7 linked regions of the Oryctolagus cuniculus genome follow. The protein of the gene in region 3 interacts with the protein of the main gene of each other region in a pairwise test. Links are inferred from orthologs where the notes say so. Each region holds a gene or a part of one and is shown on either strand. Other genes may lie near its edges.

Region 1 (4,439 bases), on a different chromosome or scaffold from region 3:
CCACAGCGCGCTGGCCACGGCAGCCATTGGAGGGTGAACCAATGGCAAAAAGGAAGACCTTTCTCTCTGTCTCTCTCTCACACTGTCCACTCTGCCTGTCAAAAAAAAAAAAAAAAAAAAAAAGGCAAAGGGAAAGGCACAAGGAGAGGCTAAAGGTAGAACAGGTGTCCAGTGCTTCCAGGACCTCGGCCGCTGGCCTGTGTCATCAGCACCAGCCCTGACACCAGCACCACAGCCCCCCATCTCCTGCTCCTCGCTTGCACCTCCATGGGGCTCCTTGGCTCAGGCCTGCAGCTCCTAATTCTGCCCTCCAGGCCCCAAGCCCCAGGGAGAGATTTCGGATACACTTCCCGGACCTGACTTTCTGAAGTCTCTGGGGACATGATCCACCCCTATGGCCTGCAGCTGTTGGGGAGAGCGATCCTAAAGGCCAGCCCAGCCCAGCCCAGCCTCCCGAGCAAGGACCAGAGGCAAACACGCATCTGCCAGTTGTCTCACGGAGCCAGAATAAAGATATGTGAGTGGAAGACCACATGTTCTGGGCTCCTGCAGGCCAGGGGTGCCCTCCAAGGGCACAATATGGTGGACTAGAAAACGCTGAGCTGCCTTGCCACTGGTTACTGCACTGGTGAGACAGGTAGCTGTAGTGGAGGGAGAGAGACTCGCAGCATGGACCATGCTGCAATGGTCTGAACAGGACTTAGGCAGGAGTCAGGCTTCCCTGCCACTCATGGCTGGAGAAATCATGGCCCACCCTGGAGGCAGCAGCAGGACAGACCCCCAGCGATCATGGCCCACCCTGAAGGCAGGAGCAGGACAGACCCCGAGTCCCCTTACTCTTCCTCGTGGGTCTCAAGCCCTCCATTGTGGCTCTGATTCTTAGAACTAGAGGCTGCCTCTCCTACCCCATCGCCAATGTTTTCTCACCAGCCCCTTCCTCTGCTTTCTCTTCTCTCCCTCTCTCCATCTCCCCCTCTCCTTTTCCTCCACCTCCTCCTCCTCCTCCTCTTCTCTTTCTCTCTGGAGCAACATGTCTTGCAGAAGCCAGCCTGTTGTAAGAAAACAGACAAGTCAAACAGGAAAGGAAGACGGTTTGAAAAACTGGCTGGAGAGCAATCAGCAGGTACTGGGGAGAGGCAGGTGTAACAGAGGAACACAGCCACCTTAACACAGACGCTCCCAGGTTAAGCAGGCCCAAGAAAGGCCTTTCACCAAAAAAAAAAAAAAAAAAAGCATTTAAACACAACATCTGTCACAATTCCGTCACCTTGGAGTCTGTCCATGATCCTACTAGGCAGCTGGTGGCAAACAGAGATCCACGGAGCAGCACCCGTGGGCCAGTGATCTGCCTTCCCTGGGACCACTGCCACCCTCTGCAGGGCTCAGCACCACGTCCAGTGGCTGCCTCCCCGCAGGGCACAGCAATCTGTTTACAGACATCTAGAATTCCCAGGCACTTTCAGGACAAGGGACTCAGGGAGGTTCCAAGTGGGCAGCAGGGCCTGCTCTGAGAGAGGCCGTTGCTCCTGGTCTATTTATGCCGATGTAAACACTCGCCAAGGAAACAAGGCGTGTGGGCATGCGCCGGCCCTGCAGGTCCCGGAGCTACTGCAAAAGGCAACTGGGAAGTCACATGTCGTAACAGTGGAAAGTACATACGCAACTATTCTTAGCCCTGGAATGTATACACTGTCTGCCTGCCCAGCGGCCCTCGCACAGACCTCCAGAAAACTGTGAAAGTGCCCTCAGCATAAACAATCCAGAAGTCTCCCAGGACAGATCAGGTGCCACAGAAGCCGAGGTCTGGGGGTTTGTGCTTTCGCCTGGCGCTCGAGGTGAAAACTCTCAGGGGAAACGAGGCAGACCCGGCGGCCACGGTGGATGTCACTCCACCGACACAAGGTAAACACCCCTGGTGTCCAGCTCTCTGCAGGTTGCACTGCCAGAGCGCAGTGAGAGAGCCAGGGTCTCCTGGCCAGTCTTTTGCTTTTAAGTTCTTCTGTTTTGAAGACAAAACCCCCCAAAGACTCTATGAAGTCAAGTTTGTGAATATCTCAATTTATTGCTCAGGTCCCCTTTTATCCCTCATTTCACTGAGCAGAGGGCCACACCCCCAGCATGTCATCCTCGGGGAGTGACTAACACGCAGAAAGAGGCTTTCTGATAGGTTTGCTAACCAGCAGACATGCTGGGGACCTGTGCAAAGGCTCACACGCTCCCGCTGCACGAAGCCACAGCTGCTGCCTTGCTTCCGCTGACAGCCAACTAACTTCCAACAGCTTGCAGGTTCCGGTCCCACCCCCACCTTGGATTAGCTGAAGATACCCTAACAATCTCCCCCACCAAATAAAAAGGTGTCCAATTTGAGGTCTGGGGTGTGGGCAGCCTCCCTTTTTAATCTTCACAATGTGCCATCCAGGTGGTACCTGCTGGCATCCTGATAGATGGACACAGGTGCACTGGGTCTTGGAGGCCCCAGCCCATGTCGCCGAGAGGGACTTCACTCGGGCTCCCTCTTGGGGTTTCTGCCCCCTCTCTGTAGGATGGACGAGGAGTCTCCAGACGGGCTGCTCTTCAAAGACCCTGACTTCTCCTCCGACTTGTTGAGGCAACTCGATGGCTTCCGACAAAACGGGATCCTGACGGACGTGAGCATCTGTGCCGGGGCCCAGGAGGTCCTCTGCCACCGAAATGTGCTGGCCTCCAGCAGCCCCTACTTTAGGGCCATGTTCTGCAGCCACTTCCGGGAGAGCAGTGAGGCCAAGGTTCAGCTGAAAGGCATCGACTGGCCGACCCTGGAACAGATCATAGCGTATGTGTACACCGGGCAGGTGCACATCGCGGCTGAGAACGTCCTGCCCTTGATGGAGGCGGCCTCGATGCTACAGTACCCCAAGCTGTTTGAGGCCTGCTCCTCGTACCTGCAGAGCCAGCTGGCCCCTGGCAACTGCCTGGGCATGATCAGACTCTCGGAGATCCTGAGCTGCGAGACCCTCAAGAAGAGAGCCAGGGAGGTGGCCTTGACCTCGTTCCCGGAGGTGGCCAAGTCGGCTGACCTGAAGGAGCTCTGTGCCCTGGAGTTGAGAGACTACCTTGGAGATGATGGGCTCTGCGGGGAGGAGGAAAAGGTGTTTGAGGCCCTCATGGTCTGGATCAAACACGACCTGCAGAACCGGAAACGCTACATACAGGAGCTGTTCGCGCAGGTCCGGCTTCAGTACGTGCACCCAGCCTTCTTCCACCACTTCATCGCCAACGACGACCTCCTGCAGTCCTCGCCCGCGTGCCAGACCATCCTGGAGACGGCCAAGACGCAGATGTTTTCTCTGCACGGCACCAGTGCTGCAGGCTGCAGAGCCCTGGGCCACGTGCCCCCTAGAAACTCTTACCAGGATTTCCTCATCCTCTTGGGTGGGAGGAAAGATAACCAGCAGACCACCAGGGACGTCCTGCTGTACGACAGCCAGACCCGCCAATGGCACAGCCTTGCGAAACTCCCCACCCGGCTGTACAAGCCCTCGGCTGTGGCCTTGCACCGCAGCGTCTATGTCCTCGGGGGCATGGCCGTCAGTGCAGGCAAGAGCGTGGTCAGTCACAACGTCTACGTCTTCTCCCTGAAACTCAATCAGTGGCGGCTGGCGGAGCCCATGCTGGTGGGCCGCTACTCCCACAGAAGCACCGCTCACAGGAACTTTATCTTCTGCATCGGGGGCATTGGAGACGGACAGGAGCTCCTGGGCTCCATGGAGAGGTACGACAGCCTCTGCAACGCCTGGGAGAGCATGGCTAGCATGCCGGTGGCGGTTCTGCACCCCGCCGTTGCTGTGAAAGACCAAAGACTCTACCTCTTCGGGGGAGAGGACATCATGCAGAACCCTGTGCGTCTCATCCAGGTAAATGGCCCTTCCCATGTCCAAGAGCATGAGTGTGTTTGCAATGCATACATGCACACACACGTGTGTGTATATATACATGTACCACATATATGCACACACATACCAATATACATGCCTACACAAGCATGCACATACTTATGCCAACATGCATGTGATGCACATACATGCATTGCACAACAGTTTTGTATGTGCAACACACATGCATACATACATGCATGCACACACACAAACACACTTGTCATTTACAGGGACAGGAAGGCCAGAGAGAAAAAAATTTTTTTCAATTTAAGAGTTCTTTTCCATAAGACTAATACATACAAAGTTATATCAAATCTAACCTCTATCCACCAAGAGTTTATCTTTATTTGAGAGGGGAAAAAAAACTTATGTACAAATCCAAACTAAAACCTATTGAATGTCACACAGTGAAGTCTTCTAGGAATTTGGCAAATGCCCCAACCCAAGTCCATGAAGTCTTAGAAGAAGATTCCCACATGTGGTGTATACCTGTTGTCAAATCCACTTTAACCTGACCTCAGATCC
Region 2 (3,717 bases), on a different chromosome or scaffold from region 3:
ATAAACTTTATAAAGGAACTTGTCGCTCCCCGTCTTCGTGGAGGAACGACACAGGACCCTGCGTTGTTCTTTCGTCTGCTCGGCCCTCCCCGGGTTTGCTGCTGGTTCCTCCCGGGTTGGCTACCGTCCCTCCACCTCCATGGAGGGGCGGGCCCCCTGCCACTTTCCCCACTTCCGCAGGGGAGCGGCACACCGCCAGCCGGCTCTTTCGGGGGCTGCTCAGGTGTTCCTTCAGATGTTCCTGGTGCATGTTGTCTCTCTCCTCCTTTATAGTCCTCTTCCGCCAATCCCAACTCTGCTACCCACACGCCGAGTACGCTGCTCTCCTCCAATCAGGAGCAGGTCCTACAGTTTATTGGTTGAACTGGAGGCAGCTGTATAGAAGCTGTTTCCTCCTCTCCCAGTGCCATATTGTGGGAGAGCAGATGCATAGAATAAGTCTTAATTCCAGTAACTTAGTCTAGTCCGAGTTGCTCCCAGTTGCTCCCCACAGAACTAAAATCAATCCTTGGAGCAAGGACCATCTCTTCAATAAATGTTGCTGGGAAAACTGAATTCACAAGTGCAGAAGTATGAAACAAGACCCCTCCCTTACACTTACAAGAAAATCCACTCAAAATGGATCAAGGACCTAAATCTATGACCTGATACCATCAGATCAGTAGAGAACACTGGGGAAACTCTGCAAGATGTAGGCAGTGGAAAGAACCCAGAAGCACAGGCCATCAAAGCCAAAAGGAGACAAATGGGACTACATCAATCTGAGAAGCTATTGCACTGCAAAAGAAACACTTAGCAAATGAAGAGGCAACCGACCCAATGGGAGAAAATATTTGCAAACTGCACAGCTGATAATGGTTTAACATCTAGAATCCATAAAGAGACCAAGATACCTAAAAACAAAACAATCCTACAAAGAAAGGGCAAAGACTTGAAGAGATATTTCTAAAGAAAGGAAATTCAGATGGCCAATAGATATATGAAAAAAATTCTCAGGATCACTAGGCATCAGGGAAATGAAAATGAAAACTTCAATGAGATTTAACCTCACCCCAGTTGTAGACTGGCTCTCTTACAGAAATCAACAAAGGACAAATGCTGGTGAGGATGTGGGGAAAAAGGTACCATAATCCACTGTTGGTGAGAATGTAAAACTGGTGCAGTCACTGTGGAATACAGTATGGTGATACTTTAGAAATCTGGATATAGACCTACCATGTGATCCAACTATCCTATTCCCAAATGAAATGAAATCAGCATATGAAAGAGTTATATGTACTCCCATGTTTATTGCATCTTGATTCCCAATAGCTAAGATATGGACTCAACCCATATGTCCATCAACTGAAGACTGGATAAAGAAATAATGATATATATATACACTTTGGCATACTACACAGCAGTAAAAATAAGAAAGAAAAAGAAATCCTGTCATTTTCAATAAAATGGGTGAAACTGGAGACCATTGTACTTGATGAAATAAGCCAGTTCCAAAAAGACAAATACCATATGTTCTCCCTGATCTGTGATAACTAATAGAGAATCTAAAAGGTAATCTATTGGAGTGAAATGAACATTTTGAGATTTAATGATTGCTTACAGCCCCTGTCTCCGCTGCTGAAGACAAGTGTTTTTTTCTCTTCATTCTATTTGTTGAACTCTTTACTTAGTTAGGGTTAATGTTATGAGCATAAAATTAACTGAACGTAAATCATTGTAAAAAATAAGAATGTGAATAAGAGAGGGAGGAGGAAGAAGGCTGGGAGCATGGGCAGGAAAGAGGGCAGGGTGGGAAATTTCACTATGCTTCTGAATCTATATGTAGGAAATACATGAAATTTGAATACTTTGAATAAAATTTAAAATAACATATTCAATATAATTTAAATATTCCCTCAATTAACATAGTAATTTTAAAAAAGTATTTCTGGAAGAAAACTAATATTTTCAAACTTATTTTGACATGCAGCTACAGGATATTCAGTACCTGACAGAGAACATTTGGGCATCGCAGTCAGTACTTAGTGATTGGGATGATCTCAATGATTTGGTCATGGTCAGATGGGATAAGTCCTTGGAGTGGTCCCCCTGGAACTGCATTCTTCTTACCAAAGATGAAGCAGCCGCTCATCTCAAGCTAAGTAGTGTTGTACAGGTAAGAAAGGCAAACTGTTTATGAGAATTTAATTGAATCAATATGGTGATTAGAGCTAATTTGACTGTTTTAAATTGCATTCCATGCATAATTGAAATATTTCCATGTGATTAAGAAACAGAACTCATGGATAAACAGTAACAAAATGTGTTAATGGTATGCATGGCAGAGATTAACATTAAAAGGGAACTAAGACAAATAAAAGGTAAAGATCCTCTCAGGATCCCTCTCCCTCCTGATAGCAAGTTCAAGTACAATTAATTCTATAGAAATTTCCATGAAGGCAGGGATTCTGTGTGTTTTTTTTTTTTTTTAAGATTTATTTATTTATTTGAAAGTCCAAGTTACACAGACAGAGAAGGAGAGGCAGAGAGAGGTCTTCCATCTGTTTGTTCACTCCCCAATTGGCTGCAACTGCCGGAACTGTGCCGATCTGAAGCCAGGAGCCAGGAACTTCTTCTGGGTCTCCCACATGGGTGCAGGGCCCCAAGGACTTGGACCATCCTCCACCGTTCTCCCAGGGCATAAAAGAGAGCTGGATGAGAAGTGGAGCAGCCAGGTTTCAAACCAGCGCCCTTATGGGATGCCGGCGCTTCAGGCCAGAGTGTTAACCTGCTGTGCCACAGTGCCAGCCATAGGGATTCTGTTTAATTTATTTACATCTATATTTTTAATACTACAGTAGTGCCAGTCACTGTGTAGGGGTTTAGTAAGTATTTTTGTAATAAATATGTGAGTAGTAGTGTGAGGTAGGTTTTATAGAACCCAACATCTTTCCTTCTTGGCGTAATCATCACAAATTTGCCTAAAGGCACACTCAATTCTCAAGTAAATCTGGTTCATAATTTTGAATTCTATTTGGCAACCATATTGATGAGAATGCCTTTTTTGTTTTTGTCCAACTAAGTAGGAGTGGAGAAAGGACTGAAAAAATTAAATACCATTTAATTTCAGTAACTTACAAGATGCAGGCTATAAAACACTTTTATGAACACAATTGAGGGGCCCTTAGTGAGTTCTTAGCTCCATTTACACTAAGTCAGCCCAAGATTCCAAGAACTGTTACTAATTCTCTCCCTTCTATTAATTAAATTGATTTACCTTTAATTCTATGCAGGATGTTAGCTAAGAGAAAACAAAGAAATGACATTAAATGTAATAGTCATTTTATTAGTGCTATTCCTTGCCTGTTTTTTTCTTCTGTGAGGGAGGTGTTGGGAGATATGAAGAGAAAAAGCTAAGAATTAAATTTTTAGCTATTTTTTCCAGTAGTTTTTTGGTTTTAAGAAGCCAGGCTAGGAACTGATTCTCTCTACAGATTGAAAGAAAGGGCAGCAAGAATTTGAAGTTGTGTTAAATGTTATATTTAGTAAGCTAAGCTGCCTTATAAATATTTAATTACTGAAAGCAAAGCCAATACTGGCAATATCATTTCATCTAAGACCCGCATTGAGATTGAAGTTCATTCCCAAAGTGCTGTTCATTCCAGTGCTGTTCCAATTAAATCCACACAATTCCCTTTGTGTATTTAATCAAATTACTTCAGTATCAAATTAAATGTT
Region 3 (4,163 bases):
TTCCCTGAGGACTGTCTCTCCTGGGTCTACCTTGGGGTCTGAGCCACTTGCATTTCTCCATCAAGATTTGATGACCGAGCAGGGTGGGCCCTGTCCCCAGAGCTGCTGCACCAGTTAACCTTCCTTTGTTGCCACTGTGGACCAAGAACTCCTACCATCAGCCTCCTTCCTAAGCCAAGACACCTTTCTGGGGCTGGTCTTCCTCCTCTGGTGGCCAGCTCAGCCCTGCCACCTCGAGTCAGCCCAGGAGAAGTGAGTGCTTATGCGGCTTGGGGCAGTTATCCCACCTGTGGACTGTCCCTGGACCCCAGCTGCCGGCACAGCCCCCGCCAGCCTGGCCCCCGGGGTTGGCCAAAGTTCTTGCTTCAGCATCTGCTCGCCCCCACCCTCTGGACTCGCCTTGTGCAGGCCGGTCGCCCTGCATTTTGTCCTTAAAACAGGACGGGAAACGTGACGAGGCGAAGGCTGTGCCTTGCAGACTCTTTCCCCGCTCTTCCTTCTTCGTCCTGCCTCTCCACACCACCCGTTCTCCGCCCACTCAGGGTCAGAGCCTAGGAACTCCTCTAACTTCACCCTTGTCTGGGAGAAAGGTGAAGGAATGTTAGTAAATAAAAGAACTTTTGACAATCCCAGTGCGTGTGTTGGGCCCAAAGAAGACAGATGGTGCCAGCGACAGAGGAAGAAGGCCGTAGGAGAAAAAGCGAGAAAGCCACGTGCGGCGAGCCTGGTTCGCAGGGCAGGAGTCTGGGACACGTGTCGGGCCGGGCAGACGCTGCCCATGCTCTGCGGCTGTGGCTTTCTCGGTGCTCTGAAGTTTCCCTGGAGACTGACTGCCTGGTGCTCAAAATAGGTCTCTGGCTCTCAGGTCCTTTCCGCCTGCCCAGCATCTCCCAGTTTCCTAACAAACTGAAATTCCGTGGAGTGGCCCCAGCAGTGGGTGGGCGGGCCAGAATCCCACTCTCTCAGGACTGCAGCAGCCACTTGCAGCCTCCTGAGCTTCTTTCCCTAGAGTGAAGAAATGGCTGGGCAAGCACAAAACTGGGCCAGACGTGTTGGACGAGAGGCTGTCTCCCTAGTGTCCGGTGCCCTGTTCTGAACCACTTGGTCTTGGGGAGCAGGAGACTGTCATTGACCCTCTCCGAAGGTCTGGCCAGATCTCTCCTCCCACCCTGAGCCATGAACCATGCTGCCCCTCATACAGGCCGCTTTAGTCTGTGTCACTGTTCTGGACCCCAAGCCAGAGCACGGGGCCAGGGGCTCCCAGGAGCCTCTGGATGACTGCTGGCCCACCTTTCACCGTCAGGAGTGACGCTCACCCTGCCCTTGCTAGAGGGAGCCGCCCATCCCTGTGTGAGTCAGGGTCACTCACTGGGTGACAGCTGGGGCTCGCCTTACACGAGCTAAATCGGGAGCTGGAATGTCATGCAGATGCCCCTCTCTCCCCACCCCCACAGTAAAATTAATCTCCTCTCTGGGGAGTAAGGGACAGACAGTGCTGCCCACAGAGTGGACAGGAGAGAGTCGTTTGGGGGACAAAAGAGAATTTAGAGAAGGGGAGAGAGAGGCCGGGCAGGGTGCAGGGCAAAGAGCAGAGAGACCGAGAAGCGTCTGGAACCCGCGCCCTACGGACGGACGAGGCAAGTTGTGAGAGGAAGGGACAGGAGCTGTAGCAGAGCTATTTCCAGAGCGAGCAGCCGAAGGGAACAGAGCGTCTACAGACTGCTTAAGGGGCGCGAGGAAGGGTCCCGAGGCAGCGGGAGAAGGCCAGGACCAGGGCCGCGGCCAGGGCAGGCACGATCGCTGAAGGGATGAACTTCACGGTGGGTTTCAAGCCTCTGCTAGGGGATGCGCACAGCATGGACAACCTCGAGAAGCAGCTCATCTGCCCCATCTGCCTGGAGATGTTCTCCAAGCCGGTGGTGATCCTGCCCTGCCAACACAACCTGTGCCGCAAGTGCGCCAACGACGTCTTCCAGGTGGGCTTGGCGTGGAGACCCGGAAGGGGGTGGGCGGGGGGCTCCGGGAGGCGGGCAGTAGCTGTTGTGGCTGAAGAGGGGAGGAGCCGGGCTCCTTCCTGTGGATCCCAAGGTAAGCATGAGTCAGCAGCCGCCCAGCAGGCTGGCGGGTACAGCCTGTACTGGGGCAGCAGCCGGGAGGCCGGCTCCTACCCCCGGGGGCTCCGTGAGAGCCTGCGCTCGACTCTGCATTTCAGTCTGGGGCTTCGGACTTTGAGAACAGTGTGGAAAACCGGGAGAAGGAAAGGGTCAGTGAGAGAAGGAAAGAGTAACCCCCATGAGAAAGCACCGTCCTCACACAGAGTGGTTTGTTCTGAAGGCGAAGCCCAGCGAAATGAGACATGGCAGGTAGGAGACTAGGAACCGTCCCATCCCCAGCGTCAGTTCATGCCTGTGGCCCTCCGAACTGCTCAGCACGGAGGCCTCCCCTGGCTCGTACAGAGAGAAGGCGGAGAGGTTGTGTTCCCCAGCGTACACCCCAGCGTACAGCCAGGTTTTATTTACCGTGGTGGTGGAGCAAAGCATAGTGAAGCAAACTCACAGAAGCCATTTTAGTCGCAGGCTTCAAAAATACAAGGAGCACGTGCCAGGCTGGTCTATAAAGGGGCTTTCTTTTCTCCTTTTTTTTTTTTTTTTTTTTTTAAGATTTATTTGTTTATTTCAAAGGCAGAGTTACAGAGAGGCAGAGAGAGAGAGAGAGAGAGAGGTCTTCCATCTGCTGGTTCACTCCCCAAATGGCCACAATGCCTAGAGCTGGGCTGATCCAAAGCTAGAAGCCAGAAGCCAGGAGCCAGGAGCTTCTTCTGGATCTCCCACACTGATGCAGGGGTCCAAGGACTTGGGCCATCTTCTACTGCTTTCCCAGGCCATAGCAGAGCTGGATCGGAAGTGGAGCAGCCGGGACTAGAACCAGTGCCCATAGGGGATGCTGGCACTGCAGGCAGCAGCTTTACCCACTATGCCACAGCACTGGCCCTTATAGAGATGCTTTCTTGACCTATGCTGTTGGGGAAGGTTCTAGTAGGCTATTGGAACAGATCTCAGGGAACATAAGGGGGAAAACACCCAGAAATCTGCCCTTGCAAATGATGTAAAAACCCGGAGTAGACTTGAGCTGGATGGCTTAGCATGCGTGTCAGTGACATGGAGACCATGAACAAGTGTTCTTCATCTGCATCACAGGTTTGGAGAGAATGTATTGAACACAGGTTTTTTGTTTTTGTTTTTGTTTTTTAAGATTCGTTGTATTTGTTTGAAAGGCAGAGGGAGAGATAGATCTTCCATCTTCTGGTTCATTCCTCAAATGGCTGCAACAGTTGGATTTGGGCCAGGCCAAAGCTGGGAGCCAGAAGCTTCATCTGGGTCGCCCCCATGGGTGCTGGGACCCAAGAACTTGGGCCATCTTCCTCTGCTTGCTTAGGTACATTAGGAAGGAGCTGGATCAGAAGTAGAGCAGCTGGGAATTGAACTGGTGCCCATGTGGGATGCCAGCGTTGCAGGCAGTGGCTTAACCCACTACACCACAAAGCCAGCCCCAAACATGGGTGATTTTTAACTTAATCAAGAAAATGCTTGGCTTCTTAGGTTGCTTAGGGCAGCATGTTTGGGGGGAAAGAATGGGCCAAGCCAGGCCATCCCATGCTGTGCCTTTGACCCCCCTACTGTGTGTCTGTCCTGTGCCCTCTTTATGTGTGCCCAGCACCCCCAAGTCTCTCCTGCCATCTCCCCATTGAGGCCACTCCCACCTCCTATCCTTCTAAGTATCCAAACCAGCCATCATTGGCCCGAGAGTCTCACAGCCAGTAGCTTTACCCAGATCAGGGTTCCGGACCAAATGCTGTGCCTGCTCAAGTCCTGTGTGAGAAGCCACACCTTGCCTGCCACCTGGGTTTCTCCCTTGGACTAAGGAACTCCCTGAACACCTATCAGGCGAGATCTCTAGGAGGAGATGGCAGGGAGATTTGCCATCACTTCTCATGGGTTTGTAGTGAAGCAGCCTCTTACTAGTACCTAAAATACATAAAAGCAAAAAGGCTGGGAGGCACAGACAATGCAGCCTGTCGAATAGTGGTCATAGCATCCTTCGGCAGAGGGACCCAGGCCTGGGCGCCACACGTGGAGGCCAGCAGAGATTTGAGTCACCTCCTG
Region 4 (4,254 bases), on a different chromosome or scaffold from region 3:
CGTCCACTCTGATCAAGAGCCAAGCAGCCTCTCACCAGGACACCTCTGGGCTGCCCGTGTGTGCCTGGGCCAGGCAGGACGGGGGCTGCCTCTGTCCAGGAGGAAGGGCCAGCGTCTACAGACACCAGGCAGAGCAGGCCAGTGAGCATCCAGGTCCAGGACAGGCCCCAGGGTAGGCAGGCAGGGGAAGACCCAGAGCAGCTCACTGACCGCAAGGCACACCCAGCCAGGTGGGACTGGGCTGACCAACGCTTCCCCTGACCACCGCCCAGGGTCACAGCGGCACCTGCTCCCCAGGTGCTCTACCTGGGATCCGTGGCCTCGGAGGCGGCCTTGGAGGACGAGGCAGGCAGAGGCGCACCCCTCCCCCGGTCCCTGGCTCTGGCATCTGAAGCGTCTGCAGTTTCCGGAGAAGAGGCAGTGAGTGAAGGGGACAGAGGACTCCAGCAAAGCAGAGCCCTGGCCACCGCCTTCGGCCACGGTCCCGGTCCCTGCCCCAGCCAGGAGGCCACCACCCCAATACCCTTTCTTGCCTAGGGGGGGTCTCTTTGGGTCCACCCTCCAGCACAGAGCAGGCTCCTCCTGAACCCCACGCCTTGGGAGGCCTGCACTGGGGACAGCCCACATGTGTGTCGCATGTGTCCATTGGCCACACAGGTCACGTGGCTGCCTCACAGAGGTAAGTGCCCAGGACAGCCTAGGAAGGCTCCCCCTCCCAGGGCCCAGAGGCATGGCTGCTTTCCTGTCCCAGTGGCACAGCCCACTCGTACCAGTGCCCCCACCCTGGGCCACCTCCTGCCCCCCTGGCCCTGGGCACCTCAGCTTTGCCCGGCCCAGCAGGTTCTGGGGGCCCCAGCCTCCTGCAGCACCTCCAAGGCAGGCCCCGGTCCAGTTCCAGCTCCAGGCAGCACTGTGCCTGACAAGCAGGAGGCCAGCACCCCCTGGGCACCCCTCCTCCAAGCACAGAGCCCTCACTGCCCGACCCACACCCAGCAGCTTCTTCCACGACTTGATGAGAGACTTGGCCAGCGCGATGACCTCTTCGTCTGAGCTCTGCTTTCTCAGGGCGTTGACCGACATCCCCACACGAGTGGCCTGTGAACAAGCCGCCTGGGTCGGGGGGTGGTGGGGAGCCCCCAGGGGGACTCTGACATCTCCCAGTAGAACCCACGAGGACAGGGTGGGATATCGAAACGTCTCATTGAGAGCCAGAGCCAGGAACAGGCCTGTGCCCATCAGTGTGCCCTTGGACACTGCTCTCCCAGGAGCTGCCCCAGGCCGGGGGCAGGCAAGGACCTACCTGGAGCAGGTGCAGTGTGACGGGCATGGCCTTGAGTTCCCTCAGCAGGTCTATGGCACCCTCCTGGAAGGAGAAAGGGGGGCTTCCTAGAGCTCAGTGGACAATCCCACCTCTTCCTGCCCATAGGCCATGCCTCAGTGCCTCCACCTGGAGACACCAGGGCTCCGCCCACCAGCCGGTGCACCCAGGATAAGGAGCCAAGTGGCTCTGCAGGCTCTGTCCCTATGGTCCCGTGACCTTCCGTCCAGCATCCACGCAACAACCTCACCGTAGCCATGTGGGGTCACTGAACAAACCACAGGAGCACAGACGCCAAGGGCCATGGCCAGGTAGGGGAGGGCTCAGGCTGTCACACACAGGGGCATCTCCCCTCGGGCACCGCTCCTCCAGGCTCCCCAGGTCCAGGACCCTGATGGGTGTGGGCCCCACCTCCCTGCAATGCCTTGTGCCCAGCCAAGCCTCTGTTCCTTAAAGGTGGGACTCGGGGGGGCCAGCTCCCCCGCCCCCACTGCTCCCTGCGGGCGCCATCCCTTCAGTGCGGTGTGTGTCTCTCCGACCAGAAGGGCGGGGGTGACCACGCAGATCCCTCTCCCAGGCAGGCCCCGCTCCTGCGCTGTGCCGAGTTCGGATCTCCCAGGGCCGCGTTCCCACCGGCACTGCACACGGGGAAGCTGGCTCTCCCAGGTCTCCGGACCCCAAAAGGGGCTCTCAGCTCTCAGGTGCTGGCCTCCCTCCCTGTCCTCCCAGGGAGCGAGTCCTGCCCAGCCGCTCCCCTCCCTGTTAGTCTCCCCCAGCCAGTCTAGCGCCCCTACTTTGCTGCAGGCCTGGGGGGGTGAGAAAACAATGGGGTGGGGGTGCTGCTTCCAGGATGACTGACAGTCGGGCCCGTTCCTGGAGAACCCCATCCACAAGAACCCGCCCCACCCCCACGCGGTCCCGGAGCCCATGACTCAGCCGTCTGGGGCCGCCCCGGGAGCTCGCAGCCCCGGGGACAGCACAGGTCCCGTGCACGGAGCCGGTCCGCGGGATGCTCGCCCCCTCCCCACCGCGGCGGTGCTGGGCGGTCGCCAGGGGTGCTGCGGGGAGTGAGGCCGTTCCAGGACCGGCCCGGCCGTGGGGTCCGGTCGAGGCGGCGGCATTTGCCGCAGGCGCCGGGCCCCTAGGGGCGAGGACTCGGCCCCGCAGCCCGTGAGTGGGGGCGAGGGCCGGGGGCGGGCCCAGCGTGCGGCGGGGGCTCCTGGGCCGGGGGTCGGGCCGGGCCTCGGGTCTGCGGGGCGCAGGGGGAGGGCGGGGCGGCCCGGGCGGGGGTCCCTGCCCCGGGCACGGGGGTCTCCCGGCGTCCCAGGGGTCTCTGCCGGGGCTCTCGTCCTTCCCCGTGGGGGCTCCCGGGCCTGACGCGGGGCGGCGGCCTCGGCGGGGTCTCGACGGGGCGGGGGTACCAGCGGCCCGCGCCCCTCACCGCGCTCTTCTTGGTCACCATCTTGTCCAGCCTGCGGGCGATCCGCGCGATCTCCTCCTCCTTGCCCGTCATCGCCTCGGGGCAGCGCCCCCGCGCCCGCCTCAGACCGACCCCGGCCGCCGCCTCCGCCGCCGCCGCCGCCGCGGGCCGACCCTCGGCTCAAACCCCCGGCCCCGCGGCCGCGCGCTGCACCCTGGGACGCGTAGTTCGCGCGCGCCCGCCCGGCCCCGCCCCCGCCGGCCCCGCCCCGCGCCCGAGTGTGCCGACCTCGCCCCCGCCGCAGGCCCCGTGGAGACCCCGACCCCGGCCCCGCCCCCGCACTCACGGCCCCGCCTGCTGGGAAGGGTCCTCTGGGAGCGGCGACCTCCTGCGGAGAATTCGGGCCCCGCAAACCGCCCTGAGCGAGGGCCGCGGGGCGGGGCGGGCTGGACGCGCCCCCTGGAGCCCCGCCCCCAGGAGCCCCGCCCCCCGAACGGCCCGGGCCCGTTAGGCCGCTCCGGGTCCCTTCACGGCCGGCTCCCCCTCCTCTGTCCTCGAGCATCCCCGACCCCGCCAACCCTGCCCCTCGGTCCGTGCGACCACGGCGCCGTCCCAGAACCCAGCCTGGGTCGTTAGGGCCTCTGCCCGGGGTTGGCTCCCGGAGCTGCCCGCCCACACTGGGGAGCCCCACAGCCGGCAGGAGGGTGGGTTCCTCTGGTCAGGCTGATGGGGAAGGGGTGCCAGAAGCTGACCCCTGTCCCTGTACCTGGCGGCTCCACGCCCCGACCCCTGACCTGTGCCTGGCAGGGCTGCTGTTGGGGTGAGGCAAGCTGACTCACTGACCCGGATAAGCGAGAGACTGGCTTTTGCCACAGCTGAAGTCCCCAGGAGGGGCCAGACCACACAACACAGAGGGTGGCCCAGGCCCAGGAGAGTTGAGGAGTGCCAAGGTGCGGGGCCAGGACCGGTGCCTGCCTGCCTCCTAGTGATGGGGTGCTGGCGGCTGCAGAGAGCGGGCCAGGGACTGCTGGGGGCAGCTGGGCACACCAGGCCTTAGGCGCTCAGCGGCACTGAAGGTGGCAGGTGCGGGACTCACCTTAACCACGAGGAAAAGCATGAATTCCTTGTGGCTGTTCCCAGGTTGTATGGTGGGCGGACACCACACCCCAGTCTCCCAGGCCAGCAGAAGCTGCCCTGCCCGTAGTCAGGGCGGGGGTGGGCGTCCAGCCACGTCAGGGCAGCAGGGAGGATGGAGCCACACATCCTTCAGCCACCCTGGACGGCTGATGAGTGACCACACCCAGGAGCTGGCTGGGTCTTGTGGGCCAGTACTGGGGCCGCCTCGGGACCCAGAAATCATGGCTTCAGAAATCGTCCAAGCCAGACCCTTGTCATCCAGGTGGTGCCAACCACGCAGGCTGCCCGGAGAGGCAGGCCTCAGGGAGAGGGGTGGGTTCCAGCTGACTCGAGGGCCCCTAGATGCCCCAGCCCTGCATCTGGCGCAGCTGCTGCTGAC
Region 5 (4,399 bases), on a different chromosome or scaffold from region 3:
ACACTCAACCCATTAAGCTCTGTGATCTACTGTGTCTTTGGAAAACCTGGTTAAAAAAAAAAAGGTAATTTTCCCCCTATACAATAAGGATAAGTTTACCAGAACATATCCAATATCAATTATATAAAAAAAGACAGCGTGTGTGCCGTGTCCACTGCAACGACTACTTCAGGAGCTGGGAGCTACTCCAACCCTGGGAGCTGCCCGGGATCAACACGACCCACGTGCAGTCAGCTGCAGGCTGCACGCCACTCCTTCACACACACCTGGAGTCGGACGTTGATTAAATATAAAAAGGGTGAGAACAAATACACACGGACCCATGATCGCATCAAGAAGCTGCTCTCTGCAGAAGTACACGAGAGGGGACTTTCGGGAGGCTGCTGCCAGGACCGAGAGGGTTAAAGCTATGGCTTAGGGAAGCACCCAAGTGAGCTGTAGGAAGGCATTTGTAGAGTAGACTCTGCAGCATCAAAGGATGATTTTCTAAAGGAGGCGAATGCTTTCTCAGTTAACCTAAATTCTGAGGCTTTCCGTAGCTGAGGGCTAGAAACAAGATCCAAAGAAAAGAGCCATGTTCAACGTCTAAGGAAGGTGACTGCCGTTAGGCTCGTGATGCTAAATGGTCCAAAAAGCCTTTGGTGGTGTGATATGGACAAGGAAAAAAATACACAAACCACATAACACCATTAAAACCAAAAAACATTTTTTTTCATTTAAAAAAGTATTTAGAACACATAAAACAAGGCAACATCTATTCTTTTTTCTCATCTTCCGGTATGGGGTCTGTCGGCGGCTCCTCCACCGTGGCACTGTTGCTCTCCGAACCGGTGTTACTGTCACTGGTTCCTTCCTCGGCCAGACTGTCGACCCCCTCCTGCCCACTCTCCTTGTCCTCGGGAGTGGACGTGCCTTCTTCGCCATTCTGCTGGCTCTCTGTCGTTTCTTCCAGGTGCGTCTCCTCTGTAATCACACATGTGTCACCGTCAGTTCCAGACACACATGGGCCCTCATCACGCTGACAGCACGCGGCTGTGCTGCCCAGGAGGGCAGGTAACAGGCACCTGAGATGAGCCAGGGCTACGGAGGAATTTCTAGCATGTGCAGAATGATCCTGGGCGTGGAAAGCCACTCTCTAACCAGAAATTTCTGCTACGTGAATACAGATTAACTTACTTCTGACGAAAATTAAGCTGCTGAACTGAGCTGTGCTCTAAGTGTAAAATACACACAGGATTTCAAAGACTTAGAATACAAGAAAAGTAAAAAAGGTTAATTTTGTTTAAAATGTTGATTACATATTGAATGGTATTATTTAGAAAATACACATACATAATTATCTGTTAAAGATACTTTCATCTGACTTGACTTTTAAAAACGTCACTAGTAGAAAACTTTAAGTACGTATGTAACTCCCATTGTATTTCCGCTGGACAGAGCGGGCTTTGGATTAAATGCGGAGCAAGCCGACGTGGGAAGAATGAGGCTGGAATCTCGGACACGAGACAGAAGTCCTGGGCTGTCTTCTGCAAGACGTTCAACAGCACGAGGTTTCTGCTCTAACGGTCCCTGATAATTTTCCTCAGTTTTCCTTCGAAGCTAGACAGCCAGAACCCAAGTGAAGCCCTAGGCGTTTTGACACGGCTCACTGACAGATGACCAAACAGGCAGGGGCCGGGCGCCCTATCTAGCTGGAACATGAGCAGAGAACCTTACCCTCACTCTCAAACTCTCGCTTTAACCACAACAAAATGCTCATGCTCCCGACGTGCCGAGCTGAAGGTGCTCGCACGGAACAGAAAGGAGGGCAAACAGGAGCTGCCCGCTTGGACGGCCCGACTGGGCAGGAGCTGGGCCGGGACCAAGCCCTGCCACTGCTTCCCTTCCCACCTCCTGCTAATGTGCAACCCGTGGGCAGCAGACCAGGCCCCCGAAGAGCACCTGGGCCCCTGCCCTAGTGCGCAAAATGCAGACAGAACCCTGGCCCCCGGCTTCGGTCTGGCCCAGACCTGGCTGTTGTGGGCATCTGGGAGTAAATCAAAGGAAGAAATCTCTCTCTGCCCTTCAAATAAATAAAAATAAACATTTAAAGCCCTCCCAAGCATTAATCTGGTGAATCAAGCTTTTCAGAAACACCTCCTGGAGATCCACATTCTGGGCTGGTGCCGTGGTGCAGAAGGCAGGTAAGCCCAAGCCTGCAACGCGGCCCAGGTTCAAGTCCCGGCTGCTCCACTTCTGATCCGGCTCCCATGCTAATGCACCTGGGCCCCTGCACCCACGTGGGCGACCTGGAGGAAGCTCCTGGTTCCTGGTTTGAGCCTGGCATAGTCCTGGACATTTAGGGAGTGAACCAGCAGATGAAGATCTCTCTCTCCTTCTCTCTCTGTATTTCTGCCTTTCAAATAAATAAATTTTTTTTTTTCAAAAAAATCTATGTTCCATTAAGTGTTTCCCAGGCGTCTGTCAGCTTAATGCAAAGTACGGCTGCAGAGCCTCCGCCTGCAAAGACCGTGCAGGGAACTCCTGGCTGTTTCCCATGCCTTCCTTCCGCTCAGGCCTGTGTACAGGGGGCACTAGGCAGGGTCAAAGCAGTGCCAACAAGGGAGGTAATCGCAACACTTGAAGTAATAATCCATGTAAGCCGGACTAATTTACCAAAGATGGCCATGTTATTTGTTACCCCCCGAGATTTGTTACCAGGACAATCAGTGCCCCTGAAGTAAACTTTTCTAGGCTGGGGCCTGTCACCTTCTGGCGATGGCTACCTGGTGGCTGTGTCCAGCTTTGTGGCCCAGGGAGGCTCTGCTGCAACTCAGTGCTCTGCCGCCGCCACACAGCCGCAGACGACATGGGGACAATGGGACGGCTGTGTCCAGTAAAGACCCATTGGTGAAAACCAGGGGGCAGGCAGGATCTGGTCTGCAGGGTCTACTCTGCTGAAGGTGGTCCTACACAGCAAAGACAGTCTTAAGAGTGGTAACTGTGGGGGCTGGCACTGTGGCGTAGCTGGTACATCCATCGCCTGCAGTGCTGGCATCCATATGGGTGCCGGTTTGAGTCCTGGCTGCTCTGCTTTTTTTTTTTTAAAGATTTATTTATTTATTTGAAAGTCAGAGTTACAGGGGGGGGGCCTTCCATCTGCTGATGCACCCCCAATTGGCCACAAATGGCCGGAGCTGTGCCAATCAGAAGCCAGGAGCCAGGAGCTTCTTCCAACCAAGATGCCGGCACTGCAGGTAGTAGCTTTACCTTCTACACCACAGCACTGGCCCCAGCTGGCTGCTCCTCTTCCGATCTAGCTCTCTGCTATGGCCTGGGAAAGCAGTAGAAGATGGCCCAAGTCCTTGGGCCCTTGCACCTGCATGGGAGACCCAGAAGAAGCTCCTGGCTCCTGATAGGCCCAGCTCCGGCCGCTGAGGCCATCTGGGAGGTGAACCAGCAGATGGAAGACCTCTTTCTCTGCTTCTGCCTCTCTGTAACTCTGAAAAGTGCTAACTACTGCTTAAACAGTATTAGCACTAAGGGTTAAAATACTGCACGCTAGCTCTGTACCAGATCCAGGAGCAGATCTCTGCAGGCGGCTGCTAGGATGCTTCGAGTGAGGAGGCCGCAGTGGAGTAACTCACCCAAGCTGCAGGGCTGGCCGGCAGGGACGCAGTCCCAGACCTGATCTCATTCCAGAGCCGGTGCCCTCAACTGCTCTCCCATTCCACTTTGTATTCCCAAGCCAGACTGGGGACCCCCAAGGCCTCTGATCCCACACAGCAGACAACCCTCCACTGCCATTCTTCAGTGACCCCAACCTTCCAAGTGCAGCCACCAGAGACCAAGAACGTGGGACGAACCACGTGACCTTGGGGGCTGTTTGGAAGGAAAGACCGGCCGCGGCCTGACCCTCGTGGTGCGGCTGGCAGCGTACCCGTCTCCATTGGAATGCTCTCGTCGTCCTTCTTGTCCTCGGCTTTGCTGGCTGCGTGCTCCTCCTCGGGAATGCCGCTGCCCTGGGCGCGCTCCGCTTGCTCCGCTGCCTCCTTCTCCCTCTCCTCTTGCCTTTTGCGGGCCTGCTCCTCTGCCTGTGCGATTTCAGCTGCGATCTTCTCCATATCCACTTCTACCTTCAAACCGCACAACTAGCAGTCAGAGAAGAGAGAACTTTAGTAATGCCCTTTCCTTATCATTTCTGAGCCAGAGAAATCATTTCAAAGTGGGTGTTCCTTGCCTACGCAATCACACGTGGGTATTTCAAAAAGTTCAGAAACACAGAATTAAAAAATAAATTTTGATGTACTTTAAGAATTTTATTTATTTATATGAAAGGCATAGTGTTAGAAGGAGAGGCAGAGGGAGAGAACGAGGGATTTTTCAATTGTTGGTTCACTCTCTGAATGGCCGCAACAGC
Region 6 (4,442 bases), on a different chromosome or scaffold from region 3:
AGGTCAGCATCTTGGAGAAGCGGGCCGGGCTCTGCGCAAAGCACGGACTTCTCCTGCCTTATCCCCCTAACGAGTGAGTGGCAGCCCAACTGCCGCCCGGACGCCACTGCTCCCGCAATCGCACCCTTAGTTCTCACAGGGTCCTTGTTTCCGCCCCCCTCCCAGGCTCCTCTCTGGCAGGCCTGGAGCACAGCAGCCAGGCGGCGGCCGGCAAAGTTTCAGGGTGCGGGCCCCTGGCCAACACGGGCGGCGACCTCGGCGCCCCAGCCCTGGCCCAGGTGCAATGCGCGGCAGCCCCAGCCTTCAGGGAGCTCCCGCGTCTATGCAGTACTCGGTGCCCATTTGGGAAGCCTCCCTCCATTCGCTGCTAACCACACCCAGCCCTTATGGAGAGGGCAGAGGACACCTGGCGAAATAGGAGAGGGCTGGATGCGCACCGCCAACCACTCACGTTGTGCCGGCCCGGACACGGGGAGGAGGGGGGAGGCGCGTGCGGCTGAAACAACACCGGGGAGACCAGAGACCCCGGCCGTGCCGCGCCGGGCAGGAACCCCGCCGGCGTGTCCCAGCGGGGCAGCGCGGGCCGCGGTGTGCACGCCGCATAGCCCGTGTGGTGCGTGACGGGCTGTCGCCGCAATGTGCAGCCCGGTGACACTGATGGATGTGCCAATGGCTGGACGGACAGATGTTGGGGCGGATCGCACCGCGCGCGGCGCCTGGGCGGGGGAGGGCCAAGCAGTCCTAGGGCGGCGGCGGCGGCGGCCAACGCGGAGCCCCAAGCTCAGGCCGCGGCCCGCGGCGGGAGGGGGCGCGGGAGCCGAGGTGGGCCTAGCGGCGAGGGGAAGGGCAGGAGGAGGGGAGCTGGGCCGGAGAGAACTCCCTGGCGTGCAGCGCGGCGCGCACACTACCTCCCGTGCGCCCGGGAGGATGGGCCGGGGCCCGGGGCCGCCGACCCGCGCGGTGCCCACCTCCCGCAGCCGACAGTCGGGCCGCCGCAGCGGCGTCGGCCAACTCACCCGTGTCCTCGCTCGCGGGCAGCGCCTGTCGCCCACGGGGCCGCCTTTCGGGCCGCAGGCGCCCGGCGCGGGAAGCCCCCCGCCCCAGGCCCGGAGCCCCGCAGCACCCCGCCTCCCGGCCCCGCCCGGGGCCCGCAGCCGCCAACTCGGAGCGCTCCCGCGTGCCGGGGCCCGCAGCCACCGCATGGCCGGAGGACAGCGGCGGCGCCTCTGCGTCCCGGGGGCATCGGGGCCGGGCGGTGCGCAGCGGGGAGCTGGGATCTTACCGTCAGAGTAGACCGCGGGCTCCCGGTCTACGAGAGAAGAAAGCATGCGGTGAACTTTTAAACAAACTTGCAGAAACAATCACAGAGAGAAAATAAAAAGGAGACAGGGCAGAGGAAGAGGGGGGAGAGGAACCAAAAAAAAAAAAAAAAAAAAGGAATAGAAAGAAAAAAAAAAGAGGAAGGAAGGAAGGAGGCGGCCACGGCTCGAAGCTCCGGGAGCGCTGGGGCAGCCAGTCCCGGGGCGCGGGGCGCCGGCCCTCGCAGCGGCTGCGGGCCTCAGGGCCCGCGGCAGCTCCGGGGACCCAGCCTGCGCGCCCCGGCGCAGCGCCGCCTCAGGGACCGTGGGCCCCGGAGGCCCCGCCACCGCCGCCCGGCAGCGCCCGGAGCCGGCCCCGCCGCGGCCGCCCCATTCCCGGCCCGAGAGCCGGCCCAGGGAGACGCAATCGAGCCCGCAGCGCATCGATGCGCCGCCGCCCGCGCCGCTCGGGCTCCGGCTCCTGCTCCCCCGCCGCCGCCGCCACCGCCGCCCGGGGGTCGCCCCCTTGAGCCCCGGCCCACCCGCGCCCTCGCCGCCGCCAGTAAGTGCGCCCGCGTCGCTCGGCCGCCACCGGCGCGGCCCCGCCAGCTCCTCCTCCCCCGCGGCCCGCCGGCCGCACCCGCCCGGAGCCTCGGCGACCCCGATCACCCGATCAATAATCAATCCCCCCGCGCGCACTCCCGCCCGCAGGCCAGGCGCGCGGCGGCGTGGCGGGCCCCCCACTCGGGGGCGCCCCGGGGAGGCGAGGCGGGGGATGGGCGCGCGAGTTCGAGTTTCTTCTCCCGCCCCCGTCCCGCCCCGGGATCGGGCTGCGCGGCGGGGCGCCCCGGGGGCGAGGGCGAGGGGCGGGCCGGCGGGGCCGTGACCGTCCCGAAGTCAGCTGAGGAAACTTGGGAGTCGCCCCCTCCCACGCCGGCCCCCCGGGACGCGCCCGGGAAAGTTTGTCCGCCGCCGAAGGGGGGCTTGGGCAAGGGGCGGCGGCGGGTCCCGGGGGAGGAGCCCCGGGAGGCGCGGGGCCTGAGGGCGGCCCGCACGCCTCCTCCCTCGAGGGCCACAGGGCATCCTCCGGGGCCGCGGGACGGCGCGGGCCGAGAGCGGGGCGGCCGGGGGCGGCCCGGGGGTGGGGGGCGAGGCCGGCCGGGGAGGCGGCGGCGCGGGCAAGGGGCCGCGACCGCCCCGGGACGGGCTCGGCGGGGCCGGCGCCTCGCCCCTGCGTGGCTCGCTCCGGGGCTGAGGCGGAGGGGCGGCGCCCCTCTGCCCGGCCTGGGCGGGGGTCCCGGGCGCCGGGGGTTGGGGGGGCCCGGGGCGGGGGCGCGGCGCCCCCGCGGGCGGCCGAGTGACACGATCATCTCCTTTTCCTTTAAGCTTGCCTGTTGCCGACGCCGCCGCTCCAGCCGCGCCGCGGGCAGAAGACTGGACCGCCGAGCCCCGGGCCGCGGTGGTGGTGGCGGCGGCGGCGGCAGCGGCGGCGGCGGCGGCGGCGGCGCGCCCCCCCTCCCGAGGCCGTGACCCCCTGCCCGGGGGCGGGGGGCCGGGGCCGGACCGGCCGGGGCCGCTCCCGCGCTCCTCCTCCCGCCCCTCCGCCCGCCTCCGCCGCGTCTCCCCGCCCCCCAGCCCCGAACCCGGCGCACCTCGTCTGGGGACGGGGCGGGGGGTGGGGGGGCAGGGCCGCCGCGGCTCCCCGCCCCCTCCTCCTCCGGCCTCCGGAGCGATTTGTCAAACTTCCCATTCCGCCGGCAGCGCGGTCCTCCTCCTCCTCCTCCTCCTCCTCCTCCCGCCCCCTCCCCCGCGCTCCTCCCTCGCCCGCCCTCCTTCTTCCCTCCGCACGTTCGGGGAGCGCGGCGGAGCGCGGCGCGGGGGGGACGCGGAGAGCCGGGGCGCAGCAGCAGCCTGCTGGCGGCCGCTCTCCGGGGGGAGCAGCGAGCAGGCCCGCCTCGCCCCCCCCGCGCGGGCCCGCCGCCCCTCCCTCGCGCGCTCAGCCCGGCGGCGGCGGCGGCGGCGGTGGCAGTCGCCGGAGCAGCATCATGCCGAGGAGGAAGCAGCAGGCGCCCCGGCGCGCAGCAGGTACGAGCCGCTTCCCCTTCCTCCCGCTCTCCGCCTCCTCTTCCTCCGCGCGCCCCGGCCGCCAGCCGCGTCTCCCGGGCGGGTGCGGGCGCCCACTAACTCCGGGCGCCCGACTCTCTGGCCGCTCCGCGCCGTGGGTGCGCGCGCCCCCCGGACGCCCCGCCGAGCGCTCTGCCCCGCGTCCCGCTCGCACCCACTTGGGGAAGCGCGCGCGGGCCGGGCCGGGCCGGGCCGGGCCGAGCGGACGGGAGGGGAGCCCCTGGTGTGTGTGTGTCTGTTGCGGGGCGGGGGTGGGGTGGGGTGGGATGGGGGCGGGCGGGGTCGCCTGAGTTCCCCGGGACACCGTCAGTGTCCTCCCGCGGCCAGCCGGCGGGGCACTGCCCGGAGCGTGCGGGGCGAGGGAGCCGGACCCTTGGCCGCCTCCCTGCCGCTCTGATCGACCCTGCGTTTGTCGGGCCCACGCCGGGCACGGCGGTGGAGAGCGGAGCGCGCGGGGTCTGGGTATTGTCAGCTGCCTGTCAGGCCGGCGCCCCGCGCGGGCACTCCCTCCGCCGGGCCCCCTCGCTGCGGGCACCGCGGCTCCCACCCGCGTCTCCTCCTGCTACACTTACTTCTGGGACGCGACACTACTTCTCCCCACCCCACCCCCCCACTTTATTTTATTATTTTATTTTTTGCCAGGAGTGTCAACTCCCGTTAAAAATGGGACGATTTTCTTCTTCTTATCATCGTTATTATTATTCTTTCCTTTTCTGGCAAAGGCATCGCTGAGAACAAAACAGAACCGTCTCTCTCTCTCACACACACAACATTATTTTGCAATAATGTCGGTTGGGGCCATGCTGCCTGGAAGAAGGGTTTCTGGCCCGTTGCCACCCTTGATTTGATGACTGATTGATCGCCCGTCATGCTGCTGCCTTTGATCTATTCATTCCCAATAAACATCAATAAATCACTTGCAATAGTGAGGCCGGGCTCTGTGACGTCAGGATGGCCCTGTCAGTGCAACTTGGGGAATTTGGGGCGGATTGCCCGGAGGACCACATATGGACGCGATGG
Region 7 (2,483 bases), on a different chromosome or scaffold from region 3:
CCTTCCCCCGAGGCCACCCACCTGATGCCATCCTTGGGAAAGGCCCCCAGCCTACGGCACCTGTCAGCTGCCGTCTGGAGGGGGAGAGGCAGGGAGGAGGCCCAGCCAGAGCTGCAGGCACAGAGGCGTCCTAACACCACGGTCTTCTCAGCGCCTTGGCCAGGTGCTGCCCAAGCATGTCCCCCACCTCTGAGACTGTTGCTGTCACCGGCCTCTTCCTAGAGAGGAGGAAAGGGGAGCGCAGAGACGCTAAGCCACTGGTCGGGGTCGCCCCGCGGAGCCTGCCCTCCAACCCAGCCCCTGTCACACCTGCTGCTGCTCGGCCTGCCTGGAGGGACTCCTGCCCCCACCCTGGCACTCTCTCAGCTTCCATAGACCAGGAAACGGAGGCCCAGAGACATGCAACGTCTACGTGGGAAGCCGTGGGGCTGGGATGACAGCCTGCGTGTTTTTACTCCAAAGCCCGGGGTTCACTTTTCCAGGCAGGAATGATGGGGGAGGTTGTGTTGGGAGGCTGGAGGAGCCCCTGCCTACGCCTCCCTCTGGGAACCGACTTCCTGGCCAGGACTATCACTGGGAAACTACTGGACTCTGGCAATTCACACCCCTGAGGGCCACCTCAGGGGAGGACAAATTGATTTTAGCTGATAACGCTGATGGCAAACAGGACCCTGCTCCCGGCCAGGCCATTGCAGTGAGGTCATGCTGTGGACATAAGCTCGCCCCGTGCTGCCCATGCCCCCATTGACGTCAGGGTGCCTGGCTGGCTGAGTTCTGCCCCCACCTGGGGTCTGTTGGGGGGTGGGGGTGGATGCCCCGCCCCAGCCAGGGTGCGGTAGAAAGTCCTTGTTGGGAACCGGGAAGCGTCCTCACCAAGGCCACCCTTCCACTGTCCCAGCCCTAGGCAGCATGTCGCAGCCGTCGGACGAGGCGCCACAGCCCCCGCACAGGAGCAAGGCTTGCCGCCGCCTCTTCGGGCCCGTGGACAGCGAGCAGCTGCGCCGAGACTGCGACGCACTCATGGCCGACTGCCTGCAGGAGGCCCGCGAACGCTGGAACTTCGACTTTGTCACTGAGACGCCGCTGGAGGGCAACTTCGCCTGGGAGCGCGTGCGGGGCCTGGGTCTGCCCAAGCTCTACCTGGCCCCGGGGCCCCGGGGTGGCAGGGAGGACCCGGCAGGGTGCAAGCGGCCGAGCACCTCAGCCGCCCTGCTGCCAGCGGCTCAGGAGGACCACGTGGACCTGTCGCTGACCTGCACCCTGGTACCTCGCTCCCCGGAACGGCCCGAGGAGTCCCCAGGCGGGCCTGGTACCTCTCAGGGCCGGAAACGGCGGCGGCAGACCAGCCTGACAGGTGAGGTCGGGTGTGGGGAGGGATGCTAGGGGGGACTGGGGCCCTCGGAACCCCCCCATGCGGGACCTGTCCTGTTTGCTTCAGCTTGTCCCCGAGAAGGGAAGCCGCCTAGGTGAGGCTGCACACAGGGCTGTAGCCAGCGTTTGTCCAGGGCGTATTTATTACCCGGCAGTCCTTGCTGAGCGACTGAAGACAATCTTGCTCCCCTTCCAAGGAGACGAGGCTCCGAGAGGGAGAGATTGGCCTGAGGTCGCGCAGGGCGTGTGCTGGGGAGAGGACACTGGCCGTAGCGCCATTCTGGCCTCTGCAAACTTTATTCCCTCCCCTCATCACACACGCGTCCCTCCCTCCCCCCACCTATCCGCCGTGTCCTCGTCGGCATTTTTCTACCCTGGATCCACTGTTCCTTCTGACCTTGACACGGGCCGTCTCTCCCACTAGCATATCAGCCCCACAAAAAAGGGATCTGGGCGTCTCTTGTTCATTGTGGAGTCCCCAGCCTGGAGAGCAGTGTCTGGTGGAGCAGGTGCTCCATGAAAGGTGAATGAGTGATGCTGGCATTTGGTCACCTATTACGCCGGGCCCTGGACCAAAGCCTTTAGAGAGACCATTGATTTCCTCCTTAGAGTGCACTCCCACGGAGAAGCCTCATTTGCAATTTATTACTTATTCATTCAAGAGACACAAAGAAAGCTTCCTTCTGCTGGTTCCCTCTCCAAATGTCCTCAGTAGCCTGGGTTGGGGCTGCAGGCAGGAGCTGGGAATTCAATCCAGGTCTCCCACATGGAACGCAGGAAACCGATTTCTTGGGCCATCAGCGGCTGCCCGGAATTCCAGAGTCGGCATTAGCAGGAAACTGGAGTCGGGAGTGAGAGCCGGAATAGAAGCCAGGCACCCTGGTGTGGGAGGCAGGCATCCTCCTTGCTGGGCTGGAGGCGCACTCCCACGCCTCGTTTTGTAGGTGAGGCAGCTGAGGCTGAGGGGTGCAGACGAGCGTCCTGTGGGCCATTTTCAGTTGGGTCTGAACTGATGGTGATGACAATGATGACTCCTGTGGACCTGGGCCAGGACACTTTCTGTGGACTGGTGGACTGCCTCCCACAGCGCTGACCAGCAGAGTTCTATGCAG

Evidence for each region.
Region 1: the proteins of TRIM54 (region 3) and KLHL38 interact in binary tests that used the Homo sapiens proteins (3 or more experiments, as listed by UniProt). The two-hybrid records come from large-scale screens. The link is inferred for Oryctolagus cuniculus from reciprocal best matches to the Homo sapiens genes TRIM54 and KLHL38.
Region 2: the proteins of TRIM54 (region 3) and IQUB interact in binary tests that used the Homo sapiens proteins (3 or more experiments, as listed by UniProt). The link is inferred for Oryctolagus cuniculus from reciprocal best matches to the Homo sapiens genes TRIM54 and IQUB.
Region 4: the proteins of TRIM54 (region 3) and TCEA2 interact in binary tests that used the Homo sapiens proteins (3 or more experiments, as listed by UniProt). The two-hybrid records come from large-scale screens. The link is inferred for Oryctolagus cuniculus from reciprocal best matches to the Homo sapiens genes TRIM54 and TCEA2.
Region 5: the proteins of TRIM54 (region 3) and SMARCE1 interact in binary tests that used the Homo sapiens proteins (3 or more experiments, as listed by UniProt). The two-hybrid records come from large-scale screens. The link is inferred for Oryctolagus cuniculus from reciprocal best matches to the Homo sapiens genes TRIM54 and SMARCE1.
Region 6: the proteins of TRIM54 (region 3) and TSHZ3 interact in binary tests that used the Homo sapiens proteins (3 or more experiments, as listed by UniProt). The two-hybrid records come from large-scale screens. The link is inferred for Oryctolagus cuniculus from reciprocal best matches to the Homo sapiens genes TRIM54 and TSHZ3.
Region 7: the proteins of TRIM54 (region 3) and CDKN1A interact in binary tests that used the Homo sapiens proteins (3 or more experiments, as listed by UniProt). The two-hybrid records come from large-scale screens. The link is inferred for Oryctolagus cuniculus from reciprocal best matches to the Homo sapiens genes TRIM54 and CDKN1A.

What each region holds. Positions count from the first base shown.
Region 1 is NC_091437.1:149,374,365-149,378,803, reverse strand, and holds the start of KLHL38 (kelch-like protein 38), read left to right. Parts: upstream 1-1,575; 5' UTR 1,576-1,902; intron 1,903-2,042; exon of another isoform or gene 2,043-2,542; 5' UTR 2,543-2,543; coding exon 2,544-3,893; exon of another isoform or gene 3,894-4,439.
Region 2 is NC_091434.1:159,631,233-159,634,949, reverse strand, and holds part of IQUB (IQ motif and ubiquitin-like domain-containing protein), read left to right. Parts: intron 1-1,969; coding exon 1,970-2,155; intron 2,156-3,717. UniProt on the Homo sapiens protein: Adapter protein that anchors the radial spoke 1 (RS1) complex to the A microtubule of outer doublet microtubules in axonemes. The triple radial spokes (RS1, RS2 and RS3) are required to modulate beating of the sperm flagellum.
Region 3 is NC_091433.1:175,699,513-175,703,675, reverse strand, and holds the start of TRIM54 (tripartite motif-containing protein 54), read left to right. Parts: upstream 1-1,352; 5' UTR 1,353-1,808; coding exon 1,809-1,976; intron 1,977-4,163. UniProt on the Homo sapiens protein: May bind and stabilize microtubules during myotubes formation.
Region 4 is NC_091442.1:143,261-147,514, forward strand, and holds the start of TCEA2 (transcription elongation factor A protein 2), read right to left. Parts: upstream 2,960-4,254; 5' UTR 2,832-2,959; coding exon 2,760-2,831; intron 1,364-2,759; coding exon 1,301-1,363; intron 1,096-1,300; coding exon 990-1,095; intron 398-989; coding exon 307-397; intron 1-306. UniProt on the Homo sapiens protein: Necessary for efficient RNA polymerase II transcription elongation past template-encoded arresting sites.
Region 5 is NC_091448.1:21,904,264-21,908,662, reverse strand, and holds the end of SMARCE1 (SWI/SNF-related matrix-associated actin-dependent regulator of chromatin subfamily E member 1), read right to left. Parts: intron 4,131-4,399; coding exon 3,920-4,130; intron 964-3,919; coding exon 755-963; 3' UTR 690-754; downstream 1-689. UniProt on the Homo sapiens protein: Involved in transcriptional activation and repression of select genes by chromatin remodeling (alteration of DNA-nucleosome topology).
Region 6 is NC_091449.1:24,912,776-24,917,217, forward strand, and holds the start of TSHZ3 (teashirt homolog 3), read left to right. Parts: upstream 1-1,472; 5' UTR 1,473-1,860; intron 1,861-2,555; exon of another isoform or gene 2,556-2,684; 5' UTR 2,685-3,343; coding exon 3,344-3,383; intron 3,384-4,442. UniProt on the Homo sapiens protein: Transcriptional regulator involved in developmental processes. Functions in association with APBB1, SET and HDAC factors as a transcriptional repressor, that inhibits the expression of CASP4.
Region 7 is NC_091436.1:132,894,407-132,896,889, reverse strand, and holds part of CDKN1A (cyclin-dependent kinase inhibitor 1), read left to right. Parts: intron 1-898; 5' UTR 899-909; coding exon 910-1,354; intron 1,355-2,483. UniProt on the Homo sapiens protein: Plays an important role in controlling cell cycle progression and DNA damage-induced G2 arrest. Involved in p53/TP53 mediated inhibition of cellular proliferation in response to DNA damage.